3 linked regions of the Coturnix japonica genome follow. The protein of the gene in region 2 purifies or fractionates together with the protein of the main gene of each other region. This does not show direct contact. Links are inferred from orthologs where the notes say so. Each region holds a gene or a part of one and is shown on either strand. Other genes may lie near its edges. The genes, in order: SUDS3, SAP30 and SIN3B.

Evidence for each region.
Region 1: the proteins of SAP30 (region 2) and SUDS3 purify together in Homo sapiens (affinity purification with mass spectrometry; 4 studies listed by BioGRID and IntAct, with this or other methods). This does not show direct contact. The link is inferred for Coturnix japonica from reciprocal best matches to the Homo sapiens genes SAP30 and SUDS3.
Region 3: the proteins of SAP30 (region 2) and SIN3B purify together in Homo sapiens (affinity purification with mass spectrometry; 4 studies listed by BioGRID and IntAct, with this or other methods). This does not show direct contact. The link is inferred for Coturnix japonica from reciprocal best matches to the Homo sapiens genes SAP30 and SIN3B.

The regions. Positions count from the first base shown.
Region 1 is NC_029530.1:8,704,326-8,707,973, reverse strand, and holds part of SUDS3 (sin3 histone deacetylase corepressor complex component SDS3), read left to right. Parts: intron 1-415; coding exon 416-477; intron 478-1,340; coding exon 1,341-1,362; intron 1,363-2,100; coding exon 2,101-2,206; intron 2,207-3,648.
Region 2 is NC_029519.1:38,529,541-38,533,288, forward strand, and holds the start of SAP30 (histone deacetylase complex subunit SAP30), read left to right. Parts: upstream 1-1,227; 5' UTR 1,228-1,553; coding exon 1,554-1,850; intron 1,851-2,549; coding exon 2,550-2,672; intron 2,673-3,748. UniProt on the Homo sapiens protein: Involved in the functional recruitment of the Sin3-histone deacetylase complex (HDAC) to a specific subset of N-CoR corepressor complexes. Capable of transcription repression by N-CoR.
Region 3 is NC_029543.1:3,320,574-3,324,221, reverse strand, and holds part of SIN3B (paired amphipathic helix protein Sin3b), read left to right. Parts: coding exon 1-122; intron 123-587; coding exon 588-677; intron 678-1,093; coding exon 1,094-1,212; intron 1,213-1,529; coding exon 1,530-1,737; intron 1,738-2,364; coding exon 2,365-2,481; intron 2,482-2,819; coding exon 2,820-3,058; intron 3,059-3,637; coding exon 3,638-3,648.

The sequences.
Region 1 (3,648 bases), on a different chromosome or scaffold from region 2:
AGTGCTGACTTCTTTTTTTGTCCTAGCTCTGGGTGGCATTCAGCTTCATTTTACAGGATTTCAAGGAAGTCTGTTGTGCTGCAGCTCACAGATTGTTCTGTACGGCAACGCAAGCTGAAAAGCACTGGAAATGCTCCTTGTTTGATGCCTCCACTAAATGTCAGCGTGCTAAAGGTTGTTCATGGATGGTTTTAAGTGAATAAGCTAAAGAGATATTGTAGTGCTTGCTGCTAATAATATGAGGCTTTGTGGGGGCTGACTTGCATTAATTGTATGATAAAAAAGTATAATGCCCTTATTAAAATCTGATGCAATTTCACTAAGCATAACCCAGAAGGTTTCTGTAAAGTGAAATATCATCGACCTTTAATTTTTAGCCTTGTCAAGAGCTTTAGAGAACCTTAATTCTGGATACCTCAGCTGAATTACTTGTTGACGGATGAGCAAATAATGGAGGACCTGAGAACCCTAAATAAGGTAGGGATTCTGGCTTGAGTTATATTTCTTTATTTTAAAGAAGAGCAGAGCTCTCTGTCCTATGTTCCTTTCTGAGATGTGGGGCTGTTTCATCCCAGTAGGCTTTCTGAAGTAACACAAGATAAGATTTAGCAAGAGGGTATCTCCTCCCTTCTATTTTGGTATGTTTAATTAACCTAATTAAAATGACTGCTGCCTAACAGCGTTACCTTTTGTTGGAACCAAATGATAAGCTATCTTACCGTGTTCTTGTCTTCCCCTGCATGGCTGAACAGATGGTAGCACTGTTTTCTTTGAGATCCCAGCCTCTGTTCCAAGCCTTTGGGGGCTTTTCTTTTTTCTCCCCAATCTTGCAGTGCTTCAGTGAACGGGGTAGGGTACAGTGTGTTTATTTATTGTTCAGCTTCTTCTAGATGTGATTATCCTTGCTAACTGCTTTAAGGCTTATGCGATTTCTCATATTAGGGGCTGCTCATTAAGGCTTTTGATGATGTTAATGGAGCATGCCTTTTGTGGCAGCTGTAGAAGTCTTGCTAATGATCTACATTCTGTGTTTGATCCAGCTGCTCTCAGGGTATGCCATACTCAGAGAATGGAGCGTGTCGGATGGATTTGGTTTGGTGGACAGTCAGAATGCTCTGAAAAATATCAGTTTCTGGCCCTGAAGTATTATGAGATGATCTGCACCTCTAGCTGCTTATGGCACAGTGTTCTGGTTTTGTTATGCCACTTAACTGTACCCTTTAATTAAAAAAAAAATAATACAACCATTTAGAGTATGGGAAGAAAGACCACATCTAAAGTTATTACATCCTTGGTCATTGTCAGATCCCTCACGCTTTCTCTGTTCTCTTTCCATGCAGCTTAAATCACCCAAGAGACCAGGTGAGTTCGCAGTGACACTGGAACTTGTTCACAACCATGTTGTTTTGGACAGAGATTTATATGGTAGACTTCTTGACTGGGTAATTTGGTTGTGTGATTGTTTTGACTGAGTAATTGCTGTTCTTTGTGTGGTTACTGTGGCTAAGGGGTGCCCTGTGGAGTCTCATAATCTCTTAGGAAGTTTGGGGATGGGGAGGCAGCAGTATGTATCCTTCAGGTGTGTGAAGCATTTGGGCAATGAGAGACCACTGACAACATGGGTCAATGTGGCTGCGTAGCAAGACTTTCTTTCTCTGTATTCATATGTGTCTGGACATGTCTTTGTAAAGTAGGCAGAGTAATTAGTAGTAATTTCCAGCTTTGTGGGTTTAGCTCTCTAGGTGTATCTCTACGCTTCACTTCAAGATACAGGTACTATCATGCTGAAGTAATCCTGACCCTATTCTATTAGTACATTATGAATTAGAAGTAAAATGAATCCAAGGATGCAGTGTTTATCACCTGCCTGTACATACTTTGGTTGCTTGATCTATTCAGTAGATGTTACAATTTAAGTAAGCAAGGCCAAGGTTGAATTAGTCATCCCAACAGAAAGTATCTTTCTAAAGGATATCTGAATTTGTAGCTTTCTGTGCTTATTTTTGCTTAATGCAGCCATGTTAAATGATTCTGCAGGCAGATGTGCTGCTGCATGGTGGACATATGCTAATCTTTAAATGGTCTCTTCTCTCCACTCAGTCTCTCCTTCCTCCCCTGAACACCTCCCAGCTACACCAGCTGAGTCTCCAGCGCAGCGGTTTGAGGCCCGGATAGAAGATGGAAAACTCTACTATGATAAAAGATGGTAAGACATGGTAAATTTCTATTTTAATCATTCTGAGCCTTGTTTTGTGAAGTGAAAATGACTGCAGAGAGAAATCACTTTATTAAGGAATCCGGGGGTGAAACGTTTTTGAGCAGTCATTAGCTCCGTCCTCCAAGAATTAATCATTATGGCTTTTGTAAATGAGCGATAATGGAGTGTTCAGACCTCATAGACTTTCTGGAGTAACTACTAGCATGGGGACTTACAAATGACTCCATAGAAAAAAGAAATTGTGCACTGTGACACTTGGGAAATAGTTTTGTCAAATCTAATCTCATGTAAGAGAGCTGCCATTGGCTGCAGTTTGGAGTAGCATTGAAGCTGGTCAGCTAAGATATGGGAGTTCAGTGATTGCAGGTACAGCTGTTGCCAACAGTGTTCACAGTCCACGTGCTCTGCTTTGTAGTAACAACTCTTTGTTCCACGAGGTGGCAGAAGAAATGTGCACCAGATAAGCACGATGACAAATTTCTGATAACAAATCCTAATAACCTTGAAAGATCGGATCCAACGCAGGAGAGGCAGCTTCAGAATTGCTGATTGGATATAGCTCTTTAAGTTTTATGGGTGTTTAGCTGTGGAAGCCTCACAAAATGGAAAGAAAATAAGATTTCTGTGTAAAATTTATTAGTAGGTCTTAATCGGAGACATGCAAAATGAGATAATCAAGGAGGCAATCTCATTCTTCTTAAGCAGAAAGCCATTTCCAAGCAGCATGCTCGTCTGTAGCCTACTCTGTTGGCTCAAAAAAATGAGACGAGGTTGTAATTTTCATACTAAAAGTAAGTTTTGGATTTGTTGTCTAAGCAGCAGCATCGTGTGCTGTTGGTCATCTGTTTTTCCTTTTGCTTGTCTTCTGGTAGTGCTGTTTCATTGAGGATTCAGTGTATGCAACTCTGCTAAAAGCTGCTGCCTGGAGCTTAAACTTCTTGAAGCACAAACCAGACACAAAGAGGCTGCTTGTCACTTCACAGATGCTCTCAGAACTTTAGTTTTGTGTAGAGCTACTGTCCTGTAGGTTACATTGAGAGGAATAAACAGTTCCTTAGGATCTTTAACTGTGCCCATTACTGTTGTGCTGCATATGAAGGAGGACAGATATTGGTGTACCTGCTCCAGAAGTAAATGTGAGAGCTCAGGAGTGGCTGCTTTTTCTGTGTCCGGAAGAAGCTGTGAAAGGACCATTAGCTTAAAGTAGTGAATGGTTAAGGATAGTAAAGGCCCCCCAAGGTCTTGCAGAGGCATTTATAAAATCATATTTCCAAAGCAGAGACTGTGTAGGGAATTTCAGGATGTGGAATCAGACTTTCAGGGTTTTTGTCCTTGTGTTGATTCCACGCTCTCCCCCACATCCTAAACCATGGTTCACCATCTTGTCATTTTGCTTTTAGCTTTGCCTTCACACAGCAGTGCAGTGATTT
Region 2 (3,748 bases):
TCAGGAACATATCTGAGACATAGTAGTCTCTACATTTTAACAGACCACAGCAAACATAACAGACTGTGTATTTTATGCTCAGCATAAGGTCAAAACCATCTGATGAAATGAAACGGATCACAAAAGACACAGTGTAAGCTGGTAGAAATTGCTACTTGTGACCCTGATTTCTGCTGGAAACTTCCTGGAACTCACACTTCTTCCTATATCTTCTTTAGGTAAGGTCTCCTACTGTTGTGTGGCTTTGTTTGTTATTATTAACATCATTATAATCTTTGAAAGGGTCGAATCACAAGGAACTTGAGCAGCGAGTTAAACGTCCCTTTTCTGAGCTGACACAGTGGCAGGGTGTGGAACTGAACCCAGCTGGGCTGTAACAAAGGAGGGTTCGGTATTTTTTCCAGCTCTTAACCCAATTTCTCCCTTTAATCACAAAACGTGCCCTCATGCATAACTGCTGTCTGTCACTGTACGCTCAGCCTAACTCCACTCGCTGGATCCTTCAGTCGCAACTGCTGGGAGCGTAAGCGGGACCTACCCTCGTTCTCTAATGCCAGGTTACGCAACCGGATTAAAAAGCCATCTGCAGCACAAACCCAAACTGCAGCATAATCGCACTCCCTGGCTCAGGCAGTTGTTGGGCTTACACGGGATCTGCGTCTCCTCAAATCGCTCGCTGACCTCCCGGTTACTCTCCTGATTCCACACTCGCACAGTAATGGATACGGCCGCATATTTCCGCGGTTACCTCACGGCGCTCGGGCCCGTTAGCGAATTTAAGGGCTCAAAAAGGAGCGCAAAGCCGCCTTTTTGCGCTCTGAACGCACTCGGACGAAAATAGGTCAGAGGCGGCCCCACAGCGGCTGAGCTATTACAGGCTGTGCGTTAACGCGGCTCTCGTGTAGCTTTCTTAGAGCTCGAAATATCTCAATACAGGCAGCGTTTGATCCGGACACAACGCGGAGCCTCAGAATCCACTTCCCGCCCCCGGTAGCGGCACGGCCGCATTTCAAATCCCAACGGCCGCGCCGACGGGGAGGAGCGAAGGCGGCGTCCTACCAGCCGGCCCGGGCCGACACCGCCACATGCCGGCGGGGGGCGGGCGGAGCCGCGGCACCGAGCTGCAACAAGCTGCGGTGTGTGCGGAGCGGAGCGCCCCGTCCGCCGCGCAGCTCGGGAGCCGTAGTTTCCCGGCCTCGCCGCCCGCAGCGCAGAGCGGCGGGACGAACTGCGTTTCCCGGAGCGCAACGCGGCTCGGCCTTGAGCAGGCGCAGTGCTGAGGGGCGGGGCGGCGGGCAGGTTGCTGTTGTTGCATAGGAAACAGCTGAAGAGTCTCCACATGACAGAGGGGGAAGGAGGAAGCGGGGCGGCCCGTGGGGCGCCGCCAGCGCGCCGGTAGCCGCGGGGCTCGGAGCGAGGGCGCCCGTCGCGCCGCGCGTGTTCCCTCGCGGTCCGGGCTGAGCGCGGCCGTAGAACCCTCCGGGCCCGAGTCCCCTCGCCGGGGGGAAGCGGTGGCGGCGCTCGCGGGGCTTCCCGCCGGCCCGACGCGGGGCATGAACGGTTTCGCCCCCGAGGAGCTGCCCCAACGCGGGGCCGACCCCGCCGTCGCCGCCGCGGGCGCGGTGAGCGGTGCGGGCTCCGGAGCGGAGGTGCCGGCGGGGTCGGCGCCCCCGGGGCTGGCCGTGGGAGCCGCGGGCGCGGCCGGGGCGGGCGGCCCCGGGGCCGGGCAGCTGTGCTGCCTGCGGGAGGAGGGAGAGCGCTGCGGCCGCGCCGCCGGCAACGCCAGCTTCAGCAAGAGGATCCAGAAGAGCATCTCGCAGAAGAAGGTGAAGATCGAGCTGGACAAGAGCGTAAGTCTTACGGCAGCGGGCAGCGGCTCGGGGGCGGCTTTTAAAGTTCTTTTTTGGCGTGTTTTCTTTTGTTTGCGGGTTGTTTTTTTTTTTTGTCTTTGCCGGCGGCGGGGAAGCGCCGTTTCCCAGTCCCTCCTTTCCCGCAGCGCTGCCGCCGCCCCGTCCCGCCTGGAGCCCGGCGCTGTCGGTGCCCCACCCGGCGGCCGTGGGCGCGGGGCTCCGTGTGGGGAGGGCTCGGCGCGGCCGCACGGTGCGGCCCTGTGCAGGAGAGCTGGGGAATGAGGGGAGCGGCCCGCGTGTCGCTTGACCTTGCGGAGGTAAAGCCGTGCGGATGGGGAGGAGGTGGCATTTTGCCTCCCGCGGGATGTTCCGGAGGCTGCCCGCCTTCCGTTCGTGCGTGTTTGTTTGCCGATCCCCGAGTTGCTGCGAGCGGTTGGAGGGAGGGTTGTGTGCGCGCTTGTCCCCGCTGCGCGACGTTCTCTGCCAGTCAACCGGTAGCCGCTTCCCCCCGTCCTCCCGCCGAGTCGGTGGAGGTAACATAACAATGCCTCCGTGCAGCGCTATCAGGCAGAGGGGCTTCCCCACCTCGCTCCGCGTGAGCGAGGCTGCCTAAGGAATGTCTCTGTAGATGCCTCTGTGCTGCCAGGCTGGGAGGAGCTTGCACGGGTTTGATTGAAAGATGCGGTCTTACTCTTGTAGGCGAGACACCTTTATATCTGCGACTTCCACAAAAACTTAATTCAGAGTGTGAGAAATAGAAGGAAGAGAAAAGGCAGTGATGACGATGGTGACTCACCAGTGCAAGACATCGACACTCCAGAGGTAGCCAACGGTTTTTCTAATAGTTACGTTAAGTCTGTTCCTGCTTCAGCCGTGCCTGCTTTTGGGGATGGCTCCTGATGTGCTTGGCTTTTAATATGACAAAAGCAAACTGGATTCCAGGGTGTATTTTCTCTATTAGATGTGCAGAATCTCAGGCAGCTGCTGTTTTGAACTTTCCTTACAGTTTTGGCTCCAGGAGCCTGCTAGAAGTTGTTTTGCTATGAAAATCAGTCTTTGTAAAGGTTGACAGGACACACCGGACTTGGGCTATAACTGCTTCTCTGTCACATCCCTCCAATCCTTTCCTTCCATGTGAAGCACGTTGCAGATGGTGCCTGTAGTTACCACTTAGTGTAGCTGGAAGTTTCTCAGTGAGGGAGCTCACTGGTTTTAGTCCTTCTTGGGGATAGAGATGCTGAGGCAGTTTTGCTGAGGAGGAGCTGAAATAAGAAGGCATTTCTGCTTGCCTTCCTTATTGTAGGCCAGTGAAACACCACCCGTTTTGGAAGTGAACTACTTTCAAACTTTTTTCATAGTATAATGTGAATGCACTTAAAGCTTTCTTCTTCCTACATGTGTGCTGGATTATTTCTGTTACAGTTTGTGTGTTAATCGTTGAGCACAGCCTACCCGGCCTCAACCAAGAGATTTATCCAGTGTTTGTCAGAAGGTGCTTGAGGATTGTGAACTTATCCTTAAGGTCAGCGTCAGCAATGTCAGTGATGAAACTTCATGCAGGAATCTCTGCCTGGAGGCACACGGCTCAAGCCTGAAGGCTTTGACTATAAGAGGATTTTAGGAGATTGGAAGTAGTTTGATGCTGGGCTGTGGTTTTTGTCAGCTAAAAACATTGGATGGCATCTCTGAAAGCTCTCTAAACCTGCTGTTCTTTGTGGCTTTTGGTAGCTGTCTGGCACAGTGGCAACTGCAGCTTTTGCCTGTTTATTTGCTCAGACAGGAATAATAAAGCATGACACAACTGATGGATATCCCTAGAACAGAAGAAAGGAAATGTATTTTCAGTGGTAGTGGTGCAGGGAAGTAGGTAGTTCTGGAGAGTTTCAGCATGCAGTTCC
Region 3 (3,648 bases), on a different chromosome or scaffold from region 2:
TCACAGGAAATGGACCATGTGAAGTGAATAGTGTCCAGAAAACTGAGCATGAAAAGAATCTTGAGCACAGCAAAAAGCGATCCAGGCCGCTGCTGTTGCGTCCTGTTTCTGGCCCAGCAAAGGTATCTCTCTGCAAGTGACCTCATATTACTCGTTTTGTTTATGTAATTCCTTGGGTAAAGTTGTAATGAGTAGTGACTGTGAAGCATGTAGGTTAGGTACAAGGGGGAAAAAAATCAAAACTATTTTATATAATCTGCAAGGAAAGCATTCTAAGATGTATATGGTAGCATGTTGTATACTGATCATCAAGCCTTTAGGTGCAGAGTATTGGTCCTCAAAAGGGTAATTCATGGCTTCTGCAAAGGAAACTTTCTTTGGAATTCTTCCTGAAGTGATCCTTCTCCTCCTCAACTAGGATTCATTTGATACAGATTGCTGTGGAGGACTTGACATAGCAATGCTAGATTGCTGTTCGGGAAATACCGATGATCAGACTTTGCAGAGAGCTGTTCTGTGTCAACAAGTGGAGTTTGATAGCATTTGAATGACAACATATTAAGTATAATCGTTTGTTCTTTTGACAGAAGAAAATGAAACTGAGAGGTACCAAAGATCTGTCAGTAGCAACAGTGGGAAAATATGGAACGCTGCAGGAGTTTTCATTCTTTGACAAGGTCAGTACACGGCCTGTTGTCACGCTGTGGGCTTACTTTAAACTTGTTATTATTTATTTAATCTGTGTGTCAGCACTTAGCAATTGCCTGACTTCAAGTGGCAGAGGGAGGGCAGACCAAGAAAAAAGCAAATAGATGGGTTTGGAAGAATGGGAACTGATCATTAGCCATTTCCCGAATGCTTGTTTCTATCACGTACGTTTTACTGTGCTTTTCAGCAGCATTTCCTGATAGTGACTATATGTAGCTATTAAATTAATGTTTGAAACTGAGACTTCTGGGGAATGTTCTCTTTTTATGCTGCAATGCAAATAGAGGTTGGTCTCCATACCTGTGGTTCAGACTCCTTAGAATATGAACACTAATTAAAAGTGACATTCAAGTGGTTTGATAATTTCTTTCCAAACTGTCTGTAGGTGCGTAGAGTACTCAAAAGTCAGGAAGTCTATGAAAATTTTCTCCGTTGCATTGCTCTCTTCAACCAGGAGTTGGTCTCTGGTTCTGAGCTGCTCCAGTTAGTTACGCCATTTTTAGGGTAAGTTACTGATTGCCATCTCTGCTGCATTGGCCTTTTTCAGCCTTGCTCTGTTAATTTTTGGTAGGTGCTGTGAATTTTGTCACTGAAGCTTTGAATTCAACATCAGAAATACATTTTAGGTAGCATGCCAGCAATGCAAAGCTAATCCACAAAGAGAAATAATACAATTGGAATCTTTAATGTAGCTACCCAACTCTTGGGGAGCATTCTGGGGAGGAGCTTATTTAGGTTTCATGCTTTTATGACAAGTATTAGCCAGCCTAAAACTGTTGGAATGAAATAACATAGGTCATGCTTATTTGTGTTTTTTGAAGGAAATTTCCAGAGCTGTTTGCACAGTTCAAGTCCTTTCTTGGTGTAAAAGAGCTTTCGTTTGCTTCTCCACTGAGCGACCGATCCGGAGATGGAATGAGTCGGGAAATAGATTATGCTTCCTGCAAACGCATTGGATCAAGTTACCGTGCTCTCCCAAAAACCTACCAGCAGCCAAAGTGCAGTGGGAGAACAGCCATTTGCAAGGAGGTACTTTGGCATCATCCACTAAATCCCTGCACAAACACTGTAATTATGTAAATGAAAGTACAGCTTCTGCACATGGGCTCCTCTTTAACTGACTATCCCTCTTCAGTCTTGTATCAGTTATTCATCCAATTCATTGAAATAAGAGTATCCACATTCAGCTTGTTAGATTTATCTAAACACATCCTCAGTCATGTCTTTCAGTGTAATCTCTTTTGAGGGTGTTTGCATGCACAAATTTATTTGAATGGACAAAAAAAAATGGAAGTTATTTCTCTAGCAGTGGACTCACCTTTGGAAGCAGTGTTTCTCCTGAAAGAGCACTGTGAGCCAATGCCATAGGCACTGCTGTCACTGAGAACAGACATCTACTCCCACTGTTCCCTGTTGTCTACTTTACTGCAATATCTGCTTTGAGAGAAGATAGTGAAGCTGCTTGTGAACTCTGATGCATTTCTACACAGACCTTTAATTATCTAGGCATAGTCATAATAGTGTTAGCTAGGCTGAAACTTGCAGTAGAAACTTAAGGAAGAACTGTTCAAGAATAAAACAGAGAAGTATCAGAGCTCTTAGAACAGCTCTGGCTCCTAAGACATTATTCAGTGTTGTATCTTTGCACTCTTGCAGGTGTTAAACGATACCTGGGTTTCATTTCCATCCTGGTCTGAAGACTCAACTTTTGTCAGCTCCAAGAAGACTCCTTATGAGGAACAGTTGCACCGCTGTGAGGATGAGCGGTTTGAGGTACCTCTGCTGTTCAGCTTCCATTCTCCCTCCTCAGAAAACAAAACTTTTAGCTGTTAAGGCTTTTTACTGAACTAATCATTACCAAATACTGGAAGCTTTATTAGTGTTCATTAGTTTGAGCAAGAGTTTGGGGTTTTCCCACTTGCTAACAGTTCTTTTAGGCATGAGTGCAGTTCTGGAAAGCATGTTACCTTTGGAGAACTGGCATAGGTCTATTTTCCAGTAAGAAGCCTTGCTGATGCTTCTTAGCTCCACCCAGCAGGCAGCAGATCTGAGCACTGCTCAGCTCCATTTTCCTGCGCTGTTAAACTGTGTCTCTGTGGACTCTTTAACAGCTGGATGTTGTCTTGGAGACCAATTTAGCCACAATACGTGTGCTGGAGAGTGTGCAGAAAAAGCTTTCTCGTCTCACTCAAGAGGATCAGGAAAAATTTCGGCTGGATGATTGCTTGGGAGGGACATCAGAAGTGATCCAACGCAGGGCCATCTACCGCATCTATGGTGATAAAGCACCAGAGATCATTGAAAGTCTGAAGAAAAACCCAGTTACTGCAGTCCCAGTTGTTCTTAAGAGGTAATTCCTGTTCTCCCACACTCACCTGGGATCTTAAAGAAACCAACACAGGATTGTAAAGCTCATTTTTGTTTTTTTCATTTTTTTTTTCCCCCAATAAGTAACTTGGTTTTTACTTCCTTACATTATAATAAAGTACAGAAATAGGAAATAAAGTAGATTTTGTTTACTTCTGAAGTGACAAATATTTTAGCAGCTCGTTAGAAGCATCTAAAATGTTTCAGTAGCTTGCTGAAAATGCTTCTGTCTGTGTTTAGAGTTCACAGACTGTGCTTTAAAAAAACATCAAGTTTTTGAGGTTGATTTGGGAGCAAAATATGAGTTTTAAGTCCTCCCTTCTTCTCTGTCCTGCTGTTTCTGAATACTTGGGTCATACACTTCTTTTTGCAATGCTGAAAGGTTCTGTGAAATGATCTCCAATGAGAAAGTTAAGGTGTTGGAAATTGTTGTTATTTTCTAGTCTTCCAAGCATTTTTAAACAGCTGGTTTTGGTAGACACTGTTAGAAAGGACAGCTTATCTCCAGTGATGGTGCTTTTATTTGTCTTTTCAAACTGAAGTAGATTGTACATTTATGCAGATTGAAAGCAA